3 linked regions of the Coturnix japonica genome follow. The protein of the gene in region 3 purifies or fractionates together with the protein of the main gene of each other region. This does not show direct contact. Links are inferred from orthologs where the notes say so. Each region holds a gene or a part of one and is shown on either strand. Other genes may lie near its edges. The genes, in order: RPP25L, RPP30 and NEPRO.

The links.
Region 1: the proteins of NEPRO (region 3) and RPP25L purify together in Homo sapiens (affinity purification with mass spectrometry; 3 studies listed by BioGRID and IntAct, with this or other methods). This does not show direct contact. The link is inferred for Coturnix japonica from reciprocal best matches to the Homo sapiens genes RMP64 and RPP25L.
Region 2: the proteins of NEPRO (region 3) and RPP30 purify together in Homo sapiens (affinity purification with mass spectrometry; 3 studies listed by BioGRID and IntAct, counting the BioPlex papers as one, with this or other methods). This does not show direct contact. The link is inferred for Coturnix japonica from reciprocal best matches to the Homo sapiens genes RMP64 and RPP30.

Annotation. Positions count from the first base shown.
Region 1 is NC_029547.1:7,293,352-7,299,637, reverse strand, and holds RPP25L (ribonuclease P protein subunit p25-like protein), read left to right. Parts: upstream 1-2,396; 5' UTR 2,397-2,831; intron 2,832-3,090; exon of another isoform or gene 3,091-3,349; intron 3,350-3,552; 5' UTR 3,553-3,561; coding exon 3,562-4,107; 3' UTR 4,108-4,856; downstream 4,857-6,286. Other genes in the region: DCTN3 (dynactin subunit 3), read left to right, coding at 445-503, 1,164-1,223, 1,848-1,937. UniProt on the Homo sapiens protein: May be a component of ribonuclease P or MRP.
Region 2 is NC_029521.1:17,046,631-17,053,055, forward strand, and holds the start of RPP30 (ribonuclease P protein subunit p30), read left to right. Parts: upstream 1-2,280; 5' UTR 2,281-2,566; coding exon 2,567-2,648; intron 2,649-3,419; coding exon 3,420-3,475; intron 3,476-3,782; coding exon 3,783-3,839; intron 3,840-4,114; coding exon 4,115-4,189; intron 4,190-4,729; coding exon 4,730-4,801; intron 4,802-6,425. UniProt on the Homo sapiens protein: Component of ribonuclease P, a ribonucleoprotein complex that generates mature tRNA molecules by cleaving their 5'-ends. Also a component of the MRP ribonuclease complex, which cleaves pre-rRNA sequences.
Region 3 is NC_029516.1:74,702,103-74,708,503, forward strand, and holds the start of NEPRO (nucleolus and neural progenitor protein), read left to right. Parts: upstream 1-2,220; 5' UTR 2,221-2,283; coding exon 2,284-2,374; intron 2,375-2,522; coding exon 2,523-2,677; intron 2,678-3,473; coding exon 3,474-3,550; intron 3,551-3,655; coding exon 3,656-3,806; intron 3,807-4,120; coding exon 4,121-4,185; intron 4,186-4,496; coding exon 4,497-4,855; intron 4,856-5,116; coding exon 5,117-5,178; intron 5,179-5,509; coding exon 5,510-5,760; intron 5,761-6,159; coding exon 6,160-6,401. Other genes in the region: protein spire homolog 1-like, read right to left, coding at 1-143, 606-637, 1,303-1,549. UniProt on the Homo sapiens protein: May play a role in cortex development as part of the Notch signaling pathway. Downstream of Notch may repress the expression of proneural genes and inhibit neuronal differentiation thereby maintaining neural progenitors.

The sequences.
Region 1 (6,286 bases), on a different chromosome or scaffold from region 3:
GGTGTGAAACTGTGACTAAGCACTGTGTACAATGCCCAGGCCATGGTAACTCTCAGGGTTCTGCTTATGAGCTGTCTTATATCCAGAACATCAGTGTTCCTTGTGTAGGCAGAGATGCTTCTCTTAATGTTAACTGCAGTGTTCATCTAATTGTTAACATCTGTTAACTCGCCCTAATTTGAGTAGTTAGCAAGTAAACTTGTTATTTGATGTGCAGTGTAGCTATGTGGCTTTATCTGCTAGTAGGTTTTTTTTTTTCCAGTTGTGTTAAAAACACGTTTGTGGTGTGGAGCACAATCAGCAATTCACTGAGCAGAACTTTGCTGTGACTTGCCCTTGAAAAGTAATGTTCTATTTTGTTGGGTTTTTGTTTGTTTGTTTGTTTTTTGTTATAATTAAACCTATGTGATGTAAAACAAAAAAAATGGGTTTCTGTGCTTTCAGCGGCTCCTGAACATGCAGCCAAAATACAGCGACTCTCTCAAATCCAGATACAACAACAGGTAATGTGAATGTTTGTGACAGTCTTGACTAGCCAGAAAAAGGAACCATTTGATAGTGGATGTACTGATGACATATTTATACCACATCTTTAAAACTGCAGCAAGAAAAAAAAAAAAGGAAAAAAAAGGAAAAAGTTTAAGAAGGGTTACTAACAATTGATTATGAGTTGGAAAAGCTTTTTACCTACCATAAGCCTGCTTAAAACAGAGGTCTCAATAAGCAGAAGTGTGTTTAACCAGCTGCTGTTCTGCTTTTCACCAGGTCACTGAAATGTTGCACGTCTATCTATATGGCTATCAGTGCTGCCACCTTGTCTCTTTCCTTCCCCATCTGAGGGAATGGGGTGTGTAGCCTGGGTTGCACTTCATGCCCCCTTTTTGTGTTTTGCTGTGAGTTTTCATTCTGAGTCAAGCAAAGCATGGATGCTGAGAAAAACCACACATCGGTCTAGCATGGATGCTCTTGCACCGTATGAGCATGAGTGTTTCTTCATAACCTTTCCTTCAACTATTGAAACTCGTTCAGGCACAGTGAGTGGTCATGGCCAGGGCCTGAGTTTTAATCTTGGTACTGGCCTTGGACAATTCCTGACTTGCCTGGAATTACAGATGTCCTTTAAGTTATTTATTGCTTATTCACCAAGGCACTGTTTTTTGCAGGAGCAGTGTGAGCAGTTTACTGATGAAGTCAAGATGCTCTTGGAAAACTACAACAAGACAGTATCCTTTTAGCTGGTGCCTTGGATTGAACTGCCCACCTGTCTCTTGGGCCACCTCACCCTGTCAGAGGTAGCTGGAAGCAGGCAATCCCCAGCCTTAGGTTTAATGGCCGGTACCTTTTCTGGTGTAGTGATGTTTGTGTTCCTGTTATTATACTTACCTCAGGAGTGAAGTCCTGTTACAGTGCCGAGGGACAGAACTATCCATCCGAGACAGGAAGGGCAGGGTGTCGTCTGTGAGTCAGAGCTTTTGTGATGGATCTGCTTACAGTGTGGCTTAGCACAAAGGAGCTGGCATGTCAGTTGAATGTGCCTGTGACCTGCCAGAGCCTTGCAGTTCATCTCATACCAGTGCTGAAACACATCCTGAACTATAGTGGGTGGGGGAGTTATGTTCTTTTCTGAAGCAAGACCTTTAATTTGCAGCACTATGCAGTGCTTAGAAGTGGTGTGTAGTTGGTATAAGTCTGTGTAGGCTGTGTAGACACAGTTTTATTCACCCTTTTCTCCTCCAAGGAATTGGTTTTGGATCAGCACTGTCAGGCTGATGGGTGCTCCAGCTATTCTCTAACCTTTATTTCCTCCTAGAAGTTTTTGCTTCTCTTTCCTTAAGAGGAACAACCAGACTCTGCTTCTCTCCAAGCAGTTTGTCCAGTGGAATGAAATACTAACACAGCTGGAAGCAGCCAGGGAAGTGAAACCTGCAGCAGAGTGATGGCAGAGCAGGGAGGGCGAAGACCAAAGTCCTAGGATCCTGTTGGCCTTGCATTATTCAGAAGAGACCACAGCAGCTGCTTGCATCCTCTTGCCTCAGTATCTTTATACTTAGTGTGAGTATGCTGCAAATGGTGTCACAGACTCCTGGGGGCACCCTGGCTTTGTGGCCCTTAATCAAAGCAGCACCATCAATATGCCACTGTTTGCATATAGTTTTCTCTTAATATGCCACTGTTATTAATATGTTATCTTTTATTTTAATGTTTTCAAGCTAGTAACGTACTTTTAAAGTCCCTTGTTGCTCTTATCGTGGATCACAGTAAAGCCCTAATGCACTGGTCTGGCTTGTCTTTTCCTCCCGTGAATGCATCAGTGGCACAGAATGCCTGGTTAAGCTCAGGAGGGCAGATCCGCGTGCTGCCAACAGCCCATGGCTGATGTGTCATAAGGAAACGTTACTCCTGGCATGAAGTAGAAGCAGTGATCTGTGTGTCCCTTCTTGGGGCGGTTCCTGGTGCCCTGTGGGAATGGGAACTTGGAGACTGGGGGAAGCAAGTGACCCTGCCCTACGTCGTGCCTTTGCTGATCAGAATGGCAGCAGCGAGTCAGAGCCGCAGCCGGTCCTTTCTTATTCAGAAAGAGTTATTTGCTGCCCCCTGCCTGTAGTGCCTGGGCTGTGCAATTTATCCAGGTACAGAACAGAATTACTGAGTTGTGAACATGTCTTTAGTGAAGCCCAGAGCCCAGCTGTGCGCTGGGAGATGCGGGCCCACCCCGCCCTCACAGCCCGCCCAGGCCCGGCGCCATCACTCCGCCACTCCGCCTCCCTCCCCGCGCATGCGCACGCCTGGCGTCGGCCGCCATTTTGCGTCGAGTGTCGCCGTGCCGGCAGGTGAGCGTGCTTTCCGTGTGTCCCCCATCCCGCCCCGCAGCCCGTCCGCCTCCCGCACCCGCAGAGCCGCCCGGACAGCGGTTCCCGTCACCCCGGACCCGGATGGTGGGGCTGGGCCGCCTCCCCTTGGCGGAGCTCTCCGCCCGAGGCCTTCACCGTGCCTGTGGGGGGAGCCGTGTGACTCTGTGGGCCTGGGGGTGGGGGTTGAGCGTGAGCCCGTTTACCTGAGTTCTTTCATTTATTCTTTGCTTTTTCTAAGGATTCCGCCAGCTGAACCAGCGCTGCTCCTTCCAGTTTCGACCCCTGTGGCAGCATTCATGTTGCCCGCCGGTGTCTGAGCTGCCGCTGCTGGAAATGACTGCTGTGCTTTGCACTGCTGCACATCGGGGTGTTCTGGTGGATAGTTTGTATCTGCCCTGTCCGGCTGACAGAATCAGACAGTGCCCTTTGGAGCAAAGACTGCACGTAATTGGAGCGAGAAGCCCTTTGTGCAGCCTTTAGAAGTTTCTCAGGTACAGGTGTGTGGAGCTGCTGAGACTTTTCTGGTGGCCAGAGGCTGAAATGATGCCAATGGCAGCCTCAGTTTTGAGCCCTGCTGTGCTGGCACAGGTTGCTGGAAGCCACAGTTGCAGCTGCGCTTCTCGCTGAGTGGGAAAGCCCACAGTGGCTGGTTTGTATTATCACTAATTGCAGGTATTCATGGGTTGCTTTTCCTTTTCAGTGCAGCAGAATGGAAAACTATAAGAAGACCAAAATCGTGGAGAAGCCTTGTCCTCTTCCTTTCACTGACCTGCCTCCTGATATCATTGAAATGAAAGTGAAAGATGGAAGTAAAATAAGAAATCTGATGGGCTACGCCATTGGCAAGATGGAACTGGACTCAGTGAGGCAGATCCTTTTCACTGGCTCAGGCAAGGCTGTCAGCAAAACCATCACGTGTGTGGAGATCATGAAAAGAAGGCTCAAAGAACTCCACCAGATCACCAAAGTGCTTTTCAAACAGATCGAGGAGATCTGGGAACCCATCGTGCCTGAGGCAGGTCTGGATTCCTTGACAGTGAAGAGAAACATTCCTGCCATATGTGTCCTGCTGAGCAAAGACGCCCTTGATCCCCAGGAGCCTGGATATCAGGCTCCGGGCTCTTTTGACGCCTTCTGGATTGAGACACTTAAAGCAGAGTCCCAGGCCCAAATGAAGAGGAAGCAGGGTGGAGGAAGGGGAACTGGCAGCATGGGAAAGCACCCTCGTGCCAGTGGAGGGCTCGGGGAGTCCTGAGTGAAGTCCTGAGACAGAGACACTTGTGGGTGTAGCTTGGGGATGTTACAAAAACCAGCCAGCTGCTCTGGCTGGAAAGCTGCTGCTGAACACAGGCTTCCAGATCTGTTAGGGGGGTAGACAGGAGAACTCACTGTTCCAAAATTGACAAAATTGTAGCTGTCTAAATTGTGTTTTGGCAAGTTTCCTTGTCAGATGGTGCCAGGCTTCACTCCATAGCCTGTGGCTCAGGGATGAGATGGAAATATGGGATTTACCTTTTTGGGCAAGGATTGCTGGCATCCAGTTAGTGAGCCCAAAGAGGCATTCCAGGTATGGCAGTGCTTTGCATGGGCAGGAGATGAGGCAGCTCCTAGAGGGGAGATGTGTCCCAGGTTGGGCTGCCAGCCCATCATTGCAGCTCCTCTGTGTGGATGGCACAGCTCAGGGCTGGGTTGGACACTTTACCTGTGCCTGAGAAGCCATTTTCTGCTCAAGCCTTCCAGTGTTCTGATGGTTTAGATGTGGGACTGCAGGGGTGCAGCTCACTGTGTGCCAATCATCCCTTTCTGTCCTCTCACTTCCCCTCTGGTGCTGATGGTTACACCTCTGGCAGGAGTCAACTAACGTCATCACCATCCTGAAACCACGTAGGCAGGGGCAAATGCACAGGGGTGGTAATGGTGAGCTCCAAAGGATGCTTGTTTCCCCTTTCTACTCCTTTGTAATGCATAGGAATGGGTTTAAAATAAAGTTTGTAAGTGACAAAAGATGTGTGATGTGTTCCACGTTGCACTGGGGTCACCCTCAGCATTACTGACGGGCTGCAGCTGCAGGCGTTTTTCTCCTGTAGGTGGGCCCTGATGAAGGTTTTCCTTTGCCATTCACCTCTTCTAGCAATGGGAAAGCCAAGGGTTTATTTTTTCTGTCTGGAAGAGCAGATTTGAGAATACTTGGTGTGAATGCCACTGGATGGAGCAGGGGATGGAGCATCACGTCGTGTGCCACAGCTCTGCTCCTGGATCAGCTGTGGGAGGTGATGCTGGGCAGGAAGGAGCCGCAGGGCCATGGCCATACACAGCGCTGCTGTGCCAGCGTGGACTCTATGGGCTATGGAGCATCTCCCCAAGCGAAGCCCACCAGGAGCAGCCAGCAGAGCCCGCAGCTGTGTGTGCTGCTGGCAGCCACGAGGGGTCCCCAGCTGCCCGGCGGATTTGCATCGTACCCGCTGCCGTGCCGAGCTGCCCGGTGCAGGACGGAGCTGTGCCGGGCTCGTTCCTCGGTGCAGCCGCTCGGACCGTCCCTGACGCTTTGCACTGCACGGGGCCGCGCTGGTCACTCGTGGGCGGACAGCGCAGCCCCACGTCTGCGGCCGGTGGCGCAGAGGTGCCTTGGAAGCACGTGTAGGTGCCGGGACGGTTGTTGTGTTTTGTGCCGTGTCGCTCAGACATCGCAGCCGCTGCTCCATCCCCGCCCGGTGCAGCGCACGCACCACGCGGCCTGTGCGCGGCGCGGCGGGGCGGGGCCGCAGCCGGCGGTTGTGGGCGGGGTGTGTGCGGGGCCCGGGCCGCCCCTCGGAGCGGGGGGAGGAGCGAGCCGGGCTGCGGGACACGGCGCCGCTCCGCGCCGGGACAGCGAGCAGCGGACGCGGCTCCGAGCGGCGGATCCCGGGGCGCGGCGGCAGCGGGTCAGTGCGGGGCCGGGACGGGACTTGTTGCGGTTGCGGGATGGGGAGGGAGGTCGGCGTCTCCTTCCCGCGGGTCCGTCGGGGCTGCGATGTGCGAAGGAGCCGGCGCTGCCCGCCGCGTGCTGTGCCGTGCTGTGCCGTGCCGTGCCGCGCCGCGCCGTGCTGTGCCGTGCTGCGCCGTGCTGTGCTGTGCTGTGCCGTGCTGTGCTGTGCCGTGCCGTGCCGTGCCGTGCCGTGCCGTGCCGTGCCGTGCCGTGCCGTGCCGTGCCGTGCCGCGCCGTGCCGTGCCGCGCCGTGCCGTGCCGTGCCGTGCCGCGCCGTGCCGTGCCGTGCCGCGCCGTGCCGTGCCGCGCCGTGCCGCGCCGTGCCGTGCCGTCGTGCCGCCGGTAACGCTCCGCTCTGCTCCCAGGTGCCCGGCCGAGCAGACCCCGCGCTGCCGCAGCGCCGCCCGACGAGCCGCCCCGACGCTCCCGCGCCGCCGAGGCCGCAGCGGCGCCGTCCGGGCCGTTCCGG
Region 2 (6,425 bases), on a different chromosome or scaffold from region 3:
GTCCAACTTCTAGCAAAGATGTTGCAGCTGCAGTTTCTTTTCTGTCTTTTCTTGCCTTTGTGAAAATAAATCATCCCCACTCTGTGGCAGTGAAATAGAGAGGTTACCATTCACATCTTTGGCGTTTCTTATCATCATCAAAATAAATAGTCGCACCTGTGCAAGCTAAATAAATGGGAAGTGATGTCTTCCCTTTTTTTGAACCAGCAAATATGAGCAGCAAGCTGTCAGCTGAAAAGAGAAAAAAACAATTACAATGAAATTTATTCTAGAAATTCTTGATCACTCTGAAAAACAGTTCTCAGCCTGTTTCAGCCTACAGCTTTATGAAGGAAACTGTGAAGGTTATGATTAAAGTGACCATTGAGATTCAAGCTACTGAGTTGCTGAGATAGGTGGTGCCAAATATCTTTAGCTCCCTAAAATGCTAAAGGCAGAACTGAAGCCAAAGAGACATATACACATATATATCTGACAGCTGCTACCCTGAGTTGCCCACTGGAGGTACATTAGAGGAATATCACTTCATAAGACCTGAAAAGGTCTTCCCTAAAATTTAAATGTGGCATGAAAAATGTTCCTCGAGGGTAGAAAAATTGGCCGCACTAGGAGGACTTCAGGACACGGGAGAAACAAAGCACACTCAAAGTCTGTGACTGACAGTGAGAACCACAGCTATGTTTTAAGTAGATCACTGGGTCTGGCCTAAACAAAAATGTCAACATCCAAGTGGTTGATGGGGGAAATAAGGTTGCACACTGGTCTGCGTAAGTAATTGATGATATGTGATGCTGGGAGGGCCATCACAGAAATAGGGTTCTGAAGGATGATCTGTTTAAGTACTCTCCATTTTAAGTGCCTCGAGAAAAGGTTTGTTTTGCTTGTCTGTTGCCTAAAAAAAAAAAAAAGCTGCTTAATCTTGTTTAATGTCTCTGAACATTAGTCCAAAAGAGATGTTCAGAAATAATTGATACATATTTATGGATTTCTTCTCACATTTATTCAGACAAATTAAATCAAGTTCCATCATACACTGTCAAAAAAACCAAACAAACAAAGAAAACAAAAAAAACACTTGAAATAATGCTTTGAGTTCTCCCATGTCCACACACTTCACAGAAAAGCCTTAAGAAGACCATTTGATTTGGGCTGTGTGTTCAGATATTTGGCAGAGAAGCAGCACTGGCTATTCCAATAGGAAACATGTTAAGGGCACAGATAGGCCAAAGCAGAATTTGCTGAAACATAGGAAACGTAGGAGGAAGGAACATCTTCCAGGGAGACCTGGATAGGCTTGAAAAATGGACCCACAAAAACCTAGTGAGGTTCAGCACAGCCAAATTCAAGGTGTTGTATTTGAGCTGGGGCAACCCCAGACATTCAGACTGGGAGAAAAACTCACTGAGAGCAGCCCTGCTGAGGAAGACTTGGAGACTTGATGGACAAAAAGTTGGATATGAGCCAGCAGTGTGCACTTGCAGCCCATAGAGCAACTGTATTCTGGGCTGCATCAACAGAGGGGTGGCAGCATGAAGAGGGAGGTGACTGTTTCACTCTGTACTGTCCTTGTGAGCCCCCACCTGGAGCACAGTGTCCAAGCCTGGGGCTCCCAGCACAGGAGTGATATGGAGCTGTTGTGATGGGTCACAAGGATGGCCACGAAGGTGCTCAGAGAGCTGGAGTACTTCCCTGGAGATAGGTTTGTTCAATCTGGGGAAGGCACCAGGGAGATCTCGTTGCAGCCTTTCTGTGTTTAAAGGGAGCTTATAAACTCTTCGGCCTCAGTGTGCCAAGGAGCAGTGCTGTGGGCAGGGACGTGCCTGGGAGCTGTGGGCATTGCTGGAGCAATTCTGCCTGGTTAAGGGTTTAGCATTCCAAATAACCCACTGAACCTCCAGGCTCAAGGAAGTGGAAGCAGAGGGCTTGTGAGGCCTCCCAATACCACCTTGATGATGTGAAGAAATCACAGCCTTGCTTGTTTTAGCAGCTGCTGTAACTGTCCCAAACAGCAACAAAAGTGGTCATTACCACCTGTATTTCACATATGTGCTGATTAGCAGCAATAAAATGGGTGGGTTTTTCAACAGTGCTACAGAGTCAAAGCATGTTTGATTTGTGGTCTCCTGGAATTGTTCATCTCTTTTGCATTTTAGGGAATATCTCTAGAGAAGCTGGGACTAATCAACCTAGGATTTTATTTCACATTTTTTAGTTAACGCAGGAAAACGATGGCCTTAACTAGGAACGGTTCCACCCCCCCTCGGGCCATACAGTAGCTGCGCTCGGTGGGAGGCGATCCGGCCGCTAAGAGGAGCAGAAGCGCATCTCCCCCTGCTGGGCAGCGCACACACCCCGAGCTCCCGACTGCTCCGCTCGCAGCACAGCCCCCCACGGACACGTTCAGGAGCGCATAAAAGCTCGCACGCTCCATCACCCAGAGCTCCGCCTGCTGGTCCAGAGCCCATCCCGCTCCTCGTAGCAGGACTACCAGCCCCAGGTTGCTCCGGGCCGCCGGGGGCGGTGCCGGCTGCGCTCACAGCCTTCGTTCCGCCCCGTGCTGCGCAGCATGGCCGGCTTCGCCGATCTGAACGTCCCGCAGGGCGCGGATAGGAAGGCCGTGCAGAGCGTGCTGGAGGCTGCGGCGAACCGTGAGTCGGGGCTGGGAGCGGGTGGATGTGTTGTTGAGGATGGGGTGGCTGTGCTGGAAGGCGGCGCTGGCTGAGGGCTGCAGCAGCGGCGTGAAGGATGGAGAAGCGGGGCTGGACGGGGCGGAAGCTCCATGCGCCGGTCCTGCCCTGCCCAGCGAGGGCACGGGGTCTGTGCTGTGCCTGAACAGCGCTGTTATTATCTCCGGTTACTCTCCAACCTCTGCAGAGAACTTGTTCCAGGGTTACTGATCTTCAGCACAGGCTTTATGGCTTTCTCTAGTCCTGTCCACCACGGCAGTCTTTCTGTTTGTATCACCCTTCAATCGTGGTCACATCTCCCCTCATAATGCATCTTCCAGTCCGCTGCTGCAAGGCGCAGCCTTCGTGTCGATGCAGAGCCGGGACCTGGCAGCCTGTGGCTTACCCCACTACCCCAGGCTCACAGCCACACCTCAGCCTGCCCTGCTGTACCCATTAGGTAACCGTGCATCTCTGTGCGTACCCCAGCACTGGCCGTGCACAGTCCCTTGTCCTTGTTACTGTCAGTCAGTGAGGATGTGTTGTAAAGGCTGGCTTGTGCTAAAAGAAAAAATTGTACTCTTAAGACACATCTTTGAGTTAACATTGAGCAAAATTCACTGTGAAAGGTAAATGTGCACATCGTTATTGATTTTGAGATATTTAAATAATGAGCATGTGACAGTTTTCTCCTTGTGTCTGTTTCCATTACTTGCTGATCAAAGCAGGCTCACAATGTGTTTTCTTTTTTAGTGGGATATTCTGCAGTTGCTCTTAATCACGTCATCGATTTTAAAGAAAAGAAACAGGTAATTTCAGTTCAGCTTCTTTGTTGGTGATGTGTTTGCTCTCGTAAATCTCTGTGCCACTCCTCTATCCTTTGTTTTTACGCACTCACCTAAATGAAGGCATTTGTATTTATATTTATAACAGAACTCTGATTTTATAAGCCTGTATTACTGCCCTGGAGTTAATTTTTACTATGGTCTGTGAATTGTCCTTAGGAAATATTTTGTTAGTATGTTAAGCTTATTTTTGGAGTTGGAACACAACTTCTGTGTACATTCTAAACATCCCTGTTGTATTTTGGATAACTTTGTTTTGTTTTCTTTTAAGGAAATAGCCAAGCCGGTGTCTCCATCAGAGCTGTTTCCATCTTTGCCTATTGTGCAGGTGTGTTTATTACGTTCCATCTATGTGTTGTTACACTGAGCTGCAATTTTTCCTTTCAGTTTATCCACTCCTCAGAGAAACACAGTGAGCCCTTCTTTCTGAAGGGCAGTTACAATATATATGTTTTATATTAGGGAAGCATAACTACAGACTTCCAGAAAATTATTATAGGCAAGAATTGGTGCAAGGCACAACTTTCTTTTTATAGTAGGCAGGGTGAAGGTTGCCACAAAGTTTGTCAGCTTTTAAAATCTTATATTATTTTTCCATCATAGGGGACATCTAAAAGACTTAAAGTCTTAACCCGGCTGACACTTGTTGTTTCTGATCCTTCCCACTGTAATCTCTTGGTAAGTACATTCAGTGTATCTGCTTGTTTGTTTGTTTGTTTTAATTTAATTTTCTCAACGAAAGAATGACACTTTGGGAGTTGTGTATTGGATTTAATGGATTTCATAGGATACTCAGTACTGATTTCTCAGACCAGATCTTTAGAATCTGAAGCATCATGACCCCTCACGCAAGTGTCTGTGAAACAGAACGTGATTGTGCTGATCGCTTATTAGTATGGGGTAGCAGTTCTGTTCCTTTATTCTTTTATTTGAATTCTGGACTTCCATGTGTACACTAGAATACCAGGAGGGAGACCAGTGTGTGTTTGTGGAGCTGTGTGCTTGAGACAAAAGGTATGTGAGTGGATGGGACAAGCCTCAAAATGACCTCAGAGAATTGCTCACAGTAGAGACCTACTATTTAATTAGATTATCGTCTTTGTTTTGGTGCTTGAAAATGGTGAGGAAATTTTCTCATTATTATTTTGGTTATAATCATTGTGTGTATGCTTGTCACCTGCCAGAAGTCAAGGTAGTAATTATTTCCTCCTTTTGTAGAGATCTACATCTGCAAATATAAGATTGTATGACATCATAGCTGTATTTCCAAAGACGGAGAAATTGTTCCATGTAAGTACTATCTGTGAGTTGTCATAGAGCTGGCACTAACCATCAGTGTCTTGGAGTGCTTTGAGTGCATGCTTTGTTTTGTTTTCCATTCTATATAGCCATGTCATGGGGCTAATTAAACAATGTAGGTTCTCTGGTCAGCAGCAGGCAGACTAAAAGATTGGGAGAAATCCTAGAAGGGTAAAGGGCCTTGATGTGATCAGTTGGTCCTAAACGTCTGCAAGTGGTCTGACTGACTTGCTTTCAAATGCTCAGCTCAACTTCTTGTCAAAATGCTTTCATTGCAAAATGGGGGGAGAAAAAGTGGCACATCTGACCATCTCAGGAAGCTCCTGAGTCGTATCATTAAGAGTGAATTGGAAGAGTTGGTAGAGGTGATCTGTCTGTATTGCCCTTGGCAGACAGCAAGCTGATGTGCAATTTGAAGAATGCACTGTGTCACGGAGTTATCTAGATCAATCTATGTCTGTGATGGGGGGCAGTAGGCCTGTGGGCTCTCCCTCCAGCCCCAAGAATGGAAAGAAAAAAGGGAAAGGGGTAGGGAGATGGGAGTTGGGCTCAAGGAGATAAACAGAGCAGCAGCAACAATCTAAGGAGGAGAACTTATTTTACTAATTATGATATCGGAATGCAACATAACACAATATAGTATGATCTAATTGAAATTGGGGCTAATAAATCAAGTGAAATAAGAGAGAGAGGTTTCTGAAGACCAAGAAGCCTACTTTAAAATTGAAGGTGCCACAACTTGGAAGCACACCCACACTTACTGCCAGGCAGTGTGAGAGAGAGCCAGTGTCACTTCTGTGATGTGTTTTCCTCTCTGACCGTGAGGTACTCTGGGACATGTAATTCTTCTCTGTGTTCCACATGATGTTATGATGTGGAATACCGATAGCAAAAATTACAAAACCATGACACACTGGGACACCAACTGCAAATGTGAGTCTCTTTGGAGGAATGCCGGAATTTACTTTCAAAGAGAGGTTGTCGAGAAGCTGACATTGTTTTTCAGTTAGGTTAAAGCTACTTTCTGGTGCTGCTCAATACCTATCTTTGGAACATTAAAACTATATTTTTCTGATTTATTTTTTTTTTAAATTATTTCCTGTCCTTTTTGAAAACTTGTGAAGAGGCTGTAAAAGGAGGTGAACTTGAAAGGAGAAGAACTGAAGTATTTATTGTAACAGTGACAACTTAATGAAGCTCATTTCCAACTGATTTTTTTTTTTCTTCCCTTGCCAGACTCTGAACTCCTGAGGGTGTGCAAGAGTCAAAAGTCTTCTAAAAGGCTTTCTACTTCTCTCCATAATTTTTTTTTTTTTTGGGGGGGGAGGGGGGTGCTCTGTTAACAGCATAAAATTATTGTGATTTATTCCAGATGCATGCCAGAGTCCTGAGGCAATCGGCTGGTGTAGTCGCCAAGCCACTCCACTCTAAGATATTTGAAAAGTCGTGGCAGTCAGATGAAGTCCCAGTTGATTGGAATAAGGCAGTGGCACAGACATTTTTAAGGAGGGTAGAAGGGATGACCCAGGGAACTACTGACCTGTCAGCCTCACCTCTGTGCTGGGAAGGTCATGCAGCAGATCCTCCTGGTATCTGTGGTAAGGCACGTACAAGA
Region 3 (6,401 bases):
ACTGTTGGCTTCATTCCCTCATCATCCAGTTTCAACATGAGGCGGAGTAGTTTATCCAGTGGATCACTCAATTCTCGCTCCACTTGGCTGTCAATTCCCCAGTCCAGGGCTTCATAGATCACCATTCCCAAGTACTCCAGCAGCTGCAGACAGAAGCCAAGGAAGAAATGCAACTCCACAGCCCTCATTTTCCTATTGCTGCTGCCCCACAGGGCTGAGCACATCTCTCAGGATGAGAAGGGCTCAAAAAGTAAATGACTGCTCTTCAAGTATCCTAGGACACTCCCCAGTGAGCTATGTTAAGCTTTTAAACTACCTTATCTAGCACCTCTAAATGATGTAATCAGGACAAAAAGCCTACACATTATTCCACAGTAGCAGCACTGGTGCACCCTGCTTGCTTACCAGTCCCATAGTCTTACTGGAGCTCACTCCTAACATTTTATTTCATTTTTCAGATTGCAGGGGACAGTCACACCCACAGTACCCAGTAAATACAAATGCCTTGTCAGTTTAAGGCAGCTAGACGCCTACACCTCCCACACCAGATTTCTACACAGCAGGATTATATCTGTGCATATACAAAAGCAAAGATACAGGCTTACCTTCTCCTCTGACTGCTGAATACTGCCAGCATCTGAAAGGGAAACAAGAAGAGGTAGGGCAGGATGATAACTGCACTGCAAGATACCCTTTGTTTACTGTGACCATTAGCCCCAATTTAAGTACTACTGGTTAGTTCCTTTTCTTTGTTAGTACATATGTAACTACAAGGAAGGCAATGGATCTTTGTCTTCATTCTTTACTACCCACTCTTGTCCCTGCACTCAGCCTAGCAATGAACTCCACAGCAGTGCAAGTGCATAAGACAAAGCTTGTTGCTGTTTGCTAGCTACACAGAACAATAAATAATAATAATGGAGAACTAACAGTCACAGATTTGGCTTGAGAGTTAATACAATGGTGGAATAACAGATTAGAAGATGAACAGAGCAGGACACAAAATGAAACCTCAAATTATTTGTTTCAAATAACAGAAGCTGCAGTAAATGAATCCCAGCTATTCCCTAGAAGTAAATGACACACTAAAGCATCAACAGAAAGATTGGCAGGCATATCTGCATTACCTCTTATATAAAGACCTTTAGAATAAAGCACAGACAGAAGAACAGCTTATACAGTGAGAACAACCTGAAAGTACAGAGAAGAAGGGGAAAATTAAAAGCTTTTCTCCACTTTGTCCCTAAATTTCAACCAATCACAGAAGCAACCCGTGGCACCCACAGCTACTTTCACTCTTACCAGACTTATGATACACCCGGAAGGAAACAGTGCCATCAGCATGAATAAAGATGCTCCCCGGACCTTTTATGAATACAGAATGGAGTGATGGGTACCGCCCTTGGGCTAATTCCTTCATCCTGAAGCAACACCAAAAGCAAATAGCCCAGGCTTGTTCTTCGCTTATAGGGTGCTCAAAGCACCTCAGAATCTCAGCTAGAGAAATCTTTGCAGCATTCTGCTCACAGCATGGAGACTCCGTGTTCATTTTCACAACTCTCTGCTACACTAGGAAGCTTAACAGCCTCGTTCCCAGAACAAGAGAATGCTCAGGTGGCAGCCTTTTATCAGTTATGACCCAAGGAGGGAACAAACCCTCACGCTGCTCCACACAGGTGTGAATGCTAATGCCAATTATGCTCTAGCTTTTTAAAGGGACACCACTTTAATTTGCATTGGCACAAACCTCTTTGAGGGAAAAACAGGAAGCATGTAACACACTGGATTCTAAAATAACGAGGTGGGGCAAAAGTTCTTCTCAGCTTAATGTGGTTGTCTCTAGCAAATACACTAATGGCAATACTAGTAGGTGCAGGTGAGAGAACATTCATCTTTGGCTAAAGTATGAGGAAACAGAGATAGGACAAGGGGGTTTTAAACTGAGACAGGGGAGTTTTAGGTTAGATATTAGGAGGAAGTTTTTCACACAGAGGGTGGTGACGCACTGGAACAGGTTGCCCAAGGAGGCTGTGGATGCCTCATCCCTGGAGGCATTCAAGGCCAGGCTGGATGTGGCTCTGGGCAGCCTGGTCTGCTGGTTGGTGACCCTGCACAGTGCAGGGGGTTGGAACTTTGCCGCAAGCCCTTAGCTTGGTGCATCGCCTCCCTCATCCGCGGATCCCAGCATCCAGAACAGCACTGCTCGATGCGCTCTGTGAACGCCGTGTGTGACTGAGTGCAGGCCGCACCCCCGCCTGCACGTCCCGCCCCGCACAGCACAAGATGGCGGCGCCCGAAGCTGCGTGGAACCGTGTGGACGTGCCGTGGCCCTCCAGCAGCAGCGCGGTGGCAGTGGACGCGCAGCACCCCGCAGGTCCCCGGCTGGGCTGCCGGGCCCCACGGCCGGGATGGGGCGGGGAGGAACCGGGAGGGGGCACCGGAGCCATGGGGTCCGCAGGGATGGGGAAGCGGAGTCGGGGGCGATGGGCTCGCGTGGGTCGCTGAGTGCCATCCGTTCGCAGTGCGCTGCCTGCCGGCCCTGCGGCGCTGTTGTGTCGGCACCATGAAGCGGCTGTGCTGGCCGAGCCTGACCGCCGAGGGACGCGTCCTGCGGGCCCTGCTCTACGTGTTCCACAGCAGGCTGCTGCGGCACCGGCCGTACCTGGCCATGCAGCAGGTGAGCGGCGGGCAGCTGGGGTGGTTTGAAGGCCTTGGGACAGCGTGAGAAGTGCAGCTTGATTTCAGCTTTTGGTGCCTCGTCGCTGTTTGATTCAGTTGGGAGAGGGGAGGTTTGGGTGTGGAAGAACTGCAGGCTGCTCTGTCGGATGTTGCCTCTCCTGAGGCAGAAGCTGAACTCTTGAGCAGCTCTGTAGTAAAGGGGTTGTCATAGTCTTCAAACAACTGTGCTGAAATAAAACAGCAGTCCTTCTTACCTTCTCCATTCATTTGTTCGTTATCGTTGGTGAAGGACTGGTTAAATCCCAAACACATTCCATACATCCACTGTTTAGATTTCAGAGACTTCTGTACTTTATCCCCATCATGTTGCATTACCACAGTCATAGAATATCATGAGTTGGAAGGGACCCGTAAGGATCATTGAGTCCAACTCCTGGCTCTATACAGGACCACCCAAAAATCAGACCTCATACCTCAGAGCATTGTCTAAATGCTTCTTGAAATCCATTTATATGCTGCAGGAGAAACCATACAGTGCCAATGAAAAGTGATCTGCTCCTGCTCTTAATTTCCTATTCACAGTAAGGTGATAAAGGGGTCTCTGTCACAGTGCAGATATGGCAACAAGACCAGAGCACTGTATCACACAAACCTGAAGTCTGCTATTAAACTGATAAGGGGAAGGTGTCATTTAAAGTAGTGACTGCTCTTAGACAAGGGCATTGGTGTCTCTCAGCTGAAGGACTTCCCTTTTTTTTTTTCTTCCTTTTCTTTTCCCTTCTTTTTTCCCCTAGGTGGAACAGTGCTTGAAGCGCCTGTGGAAAATGAACTTGGTGGGCTGCATTGAAACCCTGGCAGAACTGATTCCCAGGTCAGTGCCATGACCCTGTATGCACTACTACCCATTGGTCAGCCTACGGAACCGAAGGAGGAGATGCTAGACCACAGACATCTCCTTGCCCTTGTCTTGCCACAGGAAAACTAAAGCCCAGGACCAAGCAGAGTGCTTAGTTCCCAGCCAGCCTATGCTGGAAACAGTGGCCGTGAAGGTGCTGGGAGGCTGTAAGCTCATACTGCGTCTGCTAGACTGTTGCTGTAAAGCATTTCTGTATCCTTTTTTTTGCTATGTAAATATTCTTACTGTTCACCGGCAGCACTTCACGAGGCCAAAGGAATGTCTGTGCTGCTGGTGGAGTCCACATTGCAATTCATTTGTGCACCTTGAAGATTCTTTGCTAGTCAGACATTTTATTTTCAAGTTATTACGTAGGAACCTCAGGCTGCTGGCTGGCTGCTGTTCCAGCCTTGAGCAACCCAAAGTTTGGATACGCACCTCCCGAATTGTTCAGGATATCGCCTTGTGAATTGCCCGTAGTTGATGGGCTCAGCAAGTTTCATTACATACTGTTTATTCTTTAACCTTAACTGGTGTAATCTGCAGCTTGTCTGTTCAGAAGAATTCATACTTATGAACACCGTGGCTTTGGGCATGTTGAGCCGGCTATGGTTTGTATATTTGACAATTGTTTGCTGTCTGTTTGACATGCCTGTCAGGGAGAAAGCTTGTGATTAGAGCGTTCTTGTTGAGTGAGCTTTATTCAGCTAGGAGGAGAGGGGAAAAAGATCATACAGATCCCTCCATCCTTTTGGACTCTGTTCTAGCACCTGAAGAGTTGTGTGAGTGGAGAATGTAAAGAGAGGGGCCTCTACTGGGGGGAGAACAAAGCTCTTCCCTTTGAGTTCAAGGCAGTTGTTCAGTGAGTATAAGCACAAGTTCTTGCTAGGAGAGAATCTACACCTTTGTCTTCTCCCTTCAGGATTCAGTACAGGTGTTTACTGCAGAACCTCATCTCCCTGTATGGCGTACTGTCAACATCGCTTCATCTGGTGTCTGAGACCCAGCAGATGCCCTACATCAAGGGATTTACCTTCCCTGCTGATATCGGTAGCTTTCTTGGAGTTAACCTTTCTGCTGAGGTGAAGAAACAAAAAGCTAAAATGCTTACAGCAAGAAGACCTACCGGCTGGCTGAAGAAGCTCTTCCCAACCACATCAGAAGCCGTATCAAAGGCTGGGAAAAAGAGAGGTTTTGTGACCTATGCGAGAGCTGTGAAGAACCACAGCATTCCTGCGGATGACATTGGAGAACCCGTTCTGGGGACCATAGGCAGCAGAGGTAAAGCCTTTTTGCCACAGCAATACTGGTATCTGAGACCAGAGACTGGCTACCGCTTTGTCCAACTTTGTCCAACAGAGCAAATGCTTCTGCTTCCCACAGAGTGTGGTTCTGGTACAAACTCCCCTCCTGAAATGCTGAGTACAGGCATAAGCCTGCTGAGACACCGGGAGAGCTGAGAGCTCAGCAGGGCAAAGCATTAGTGTGTTTGTGTGAGGACTTAAAACTCTTTACTTAATGGGAACTCTTCTCTTTCTGTAGAGAACCACCTATGGTTTGATGTGAAGAGTTTGCTTAGACCATCCAGACCTCCAATACAAGGGGTTTGTATACCACAGTTTTACACAAGATTGCTTTTATGTTGCTGTGAAGAGCCTAACACTTGAAATGTGTTACCTATATGATGGAAAATGTCCTCTTTCCTTGCCTTATGTTACCTGTCTAACAGGTCATTCTGTTATGCAAGCATTTGTTGGTATGTCAAGCGAAGTGACCAGAGAGGAAGTCAGAAGAAGTCAGTAGACAGGAATATAAATGCTCACTGTGTGTCTCTCCTTAAGAAATGCAAAACACAGTGCTTTGCTCCTCCCTGGCAGAGCAGCAGGCACCTCACCTTTTTAGAAAGCCAACTGTTTTTCTGCTTCTTTGTTTCAGGGTAGATGCCTGACATCAAAACCTTTTAATGAAACATCAGTGTCACTTTCCTCTTCTGTGGCAAAACTGCAGCGCACTGGGCCTCTCGTACAGATGTTTCAAACAGCTGCATCATTTGGTGAGCTGTCGGAGGCGCTCAGAAAAGCCATTCTGTGGTGCAAAGGCAACAAACTCAAATCAGAAGCTTACTTTCTGCGCAGCAAGTTGTTGAAGAGCAATCGGCTGCACCATGTGGAGGCACAAGGATGCAGGTATTCTGCTGAGCACAGGGGCTCTGGATCTGATAGTTTAACTTCACATGTTTTGCTACAATGTAGAGAAATGCTGTGGTCTGACCTATATATTTATTTTTGAGCTTGAGCACAATCACATCTTCAGGTCATTGGAATTGCTGATACAAGTATCTGTATAGCTTTGCTTGTGAGAGGATTTAAAGGGTTAATAAATGCATGAATATGTAATAAAAGGGGGGAATGAAAATGCAGCTTAGATTGTGTGCCTGCATAATGGTGTTAGATGATGTAAAGATGCTGTAGCATTTCCCGAGTGTGACAGAATGGCAGAGAATGCCCATATCTAGAGCTCTGAAAACACCATAGGTAATAGTAACAGCTGTAAAGTTCTCTCTTGTTCATCTTCCTTCCCTTAAGCTTGCAGAAGAAACTGCGCTGTGTCAAAATGACGCTCTGTAAATACCTCCTGTATGGCTCCCAGAACACGCGCTGGCCAAGGCAGTACCGTAGGGCATGGATCTTTGGAAGGAGGGCAGAATTCTCCAAGTGCTCAAAGAGAACTCTGAGGACTGTTCAGCAAAAACATTCGGAGCTTTCTGGGGACCATGTGAGCTGCATTTCACCCACTGTGAGGCCTTCGAGTCAGAAAGGATGTCCCA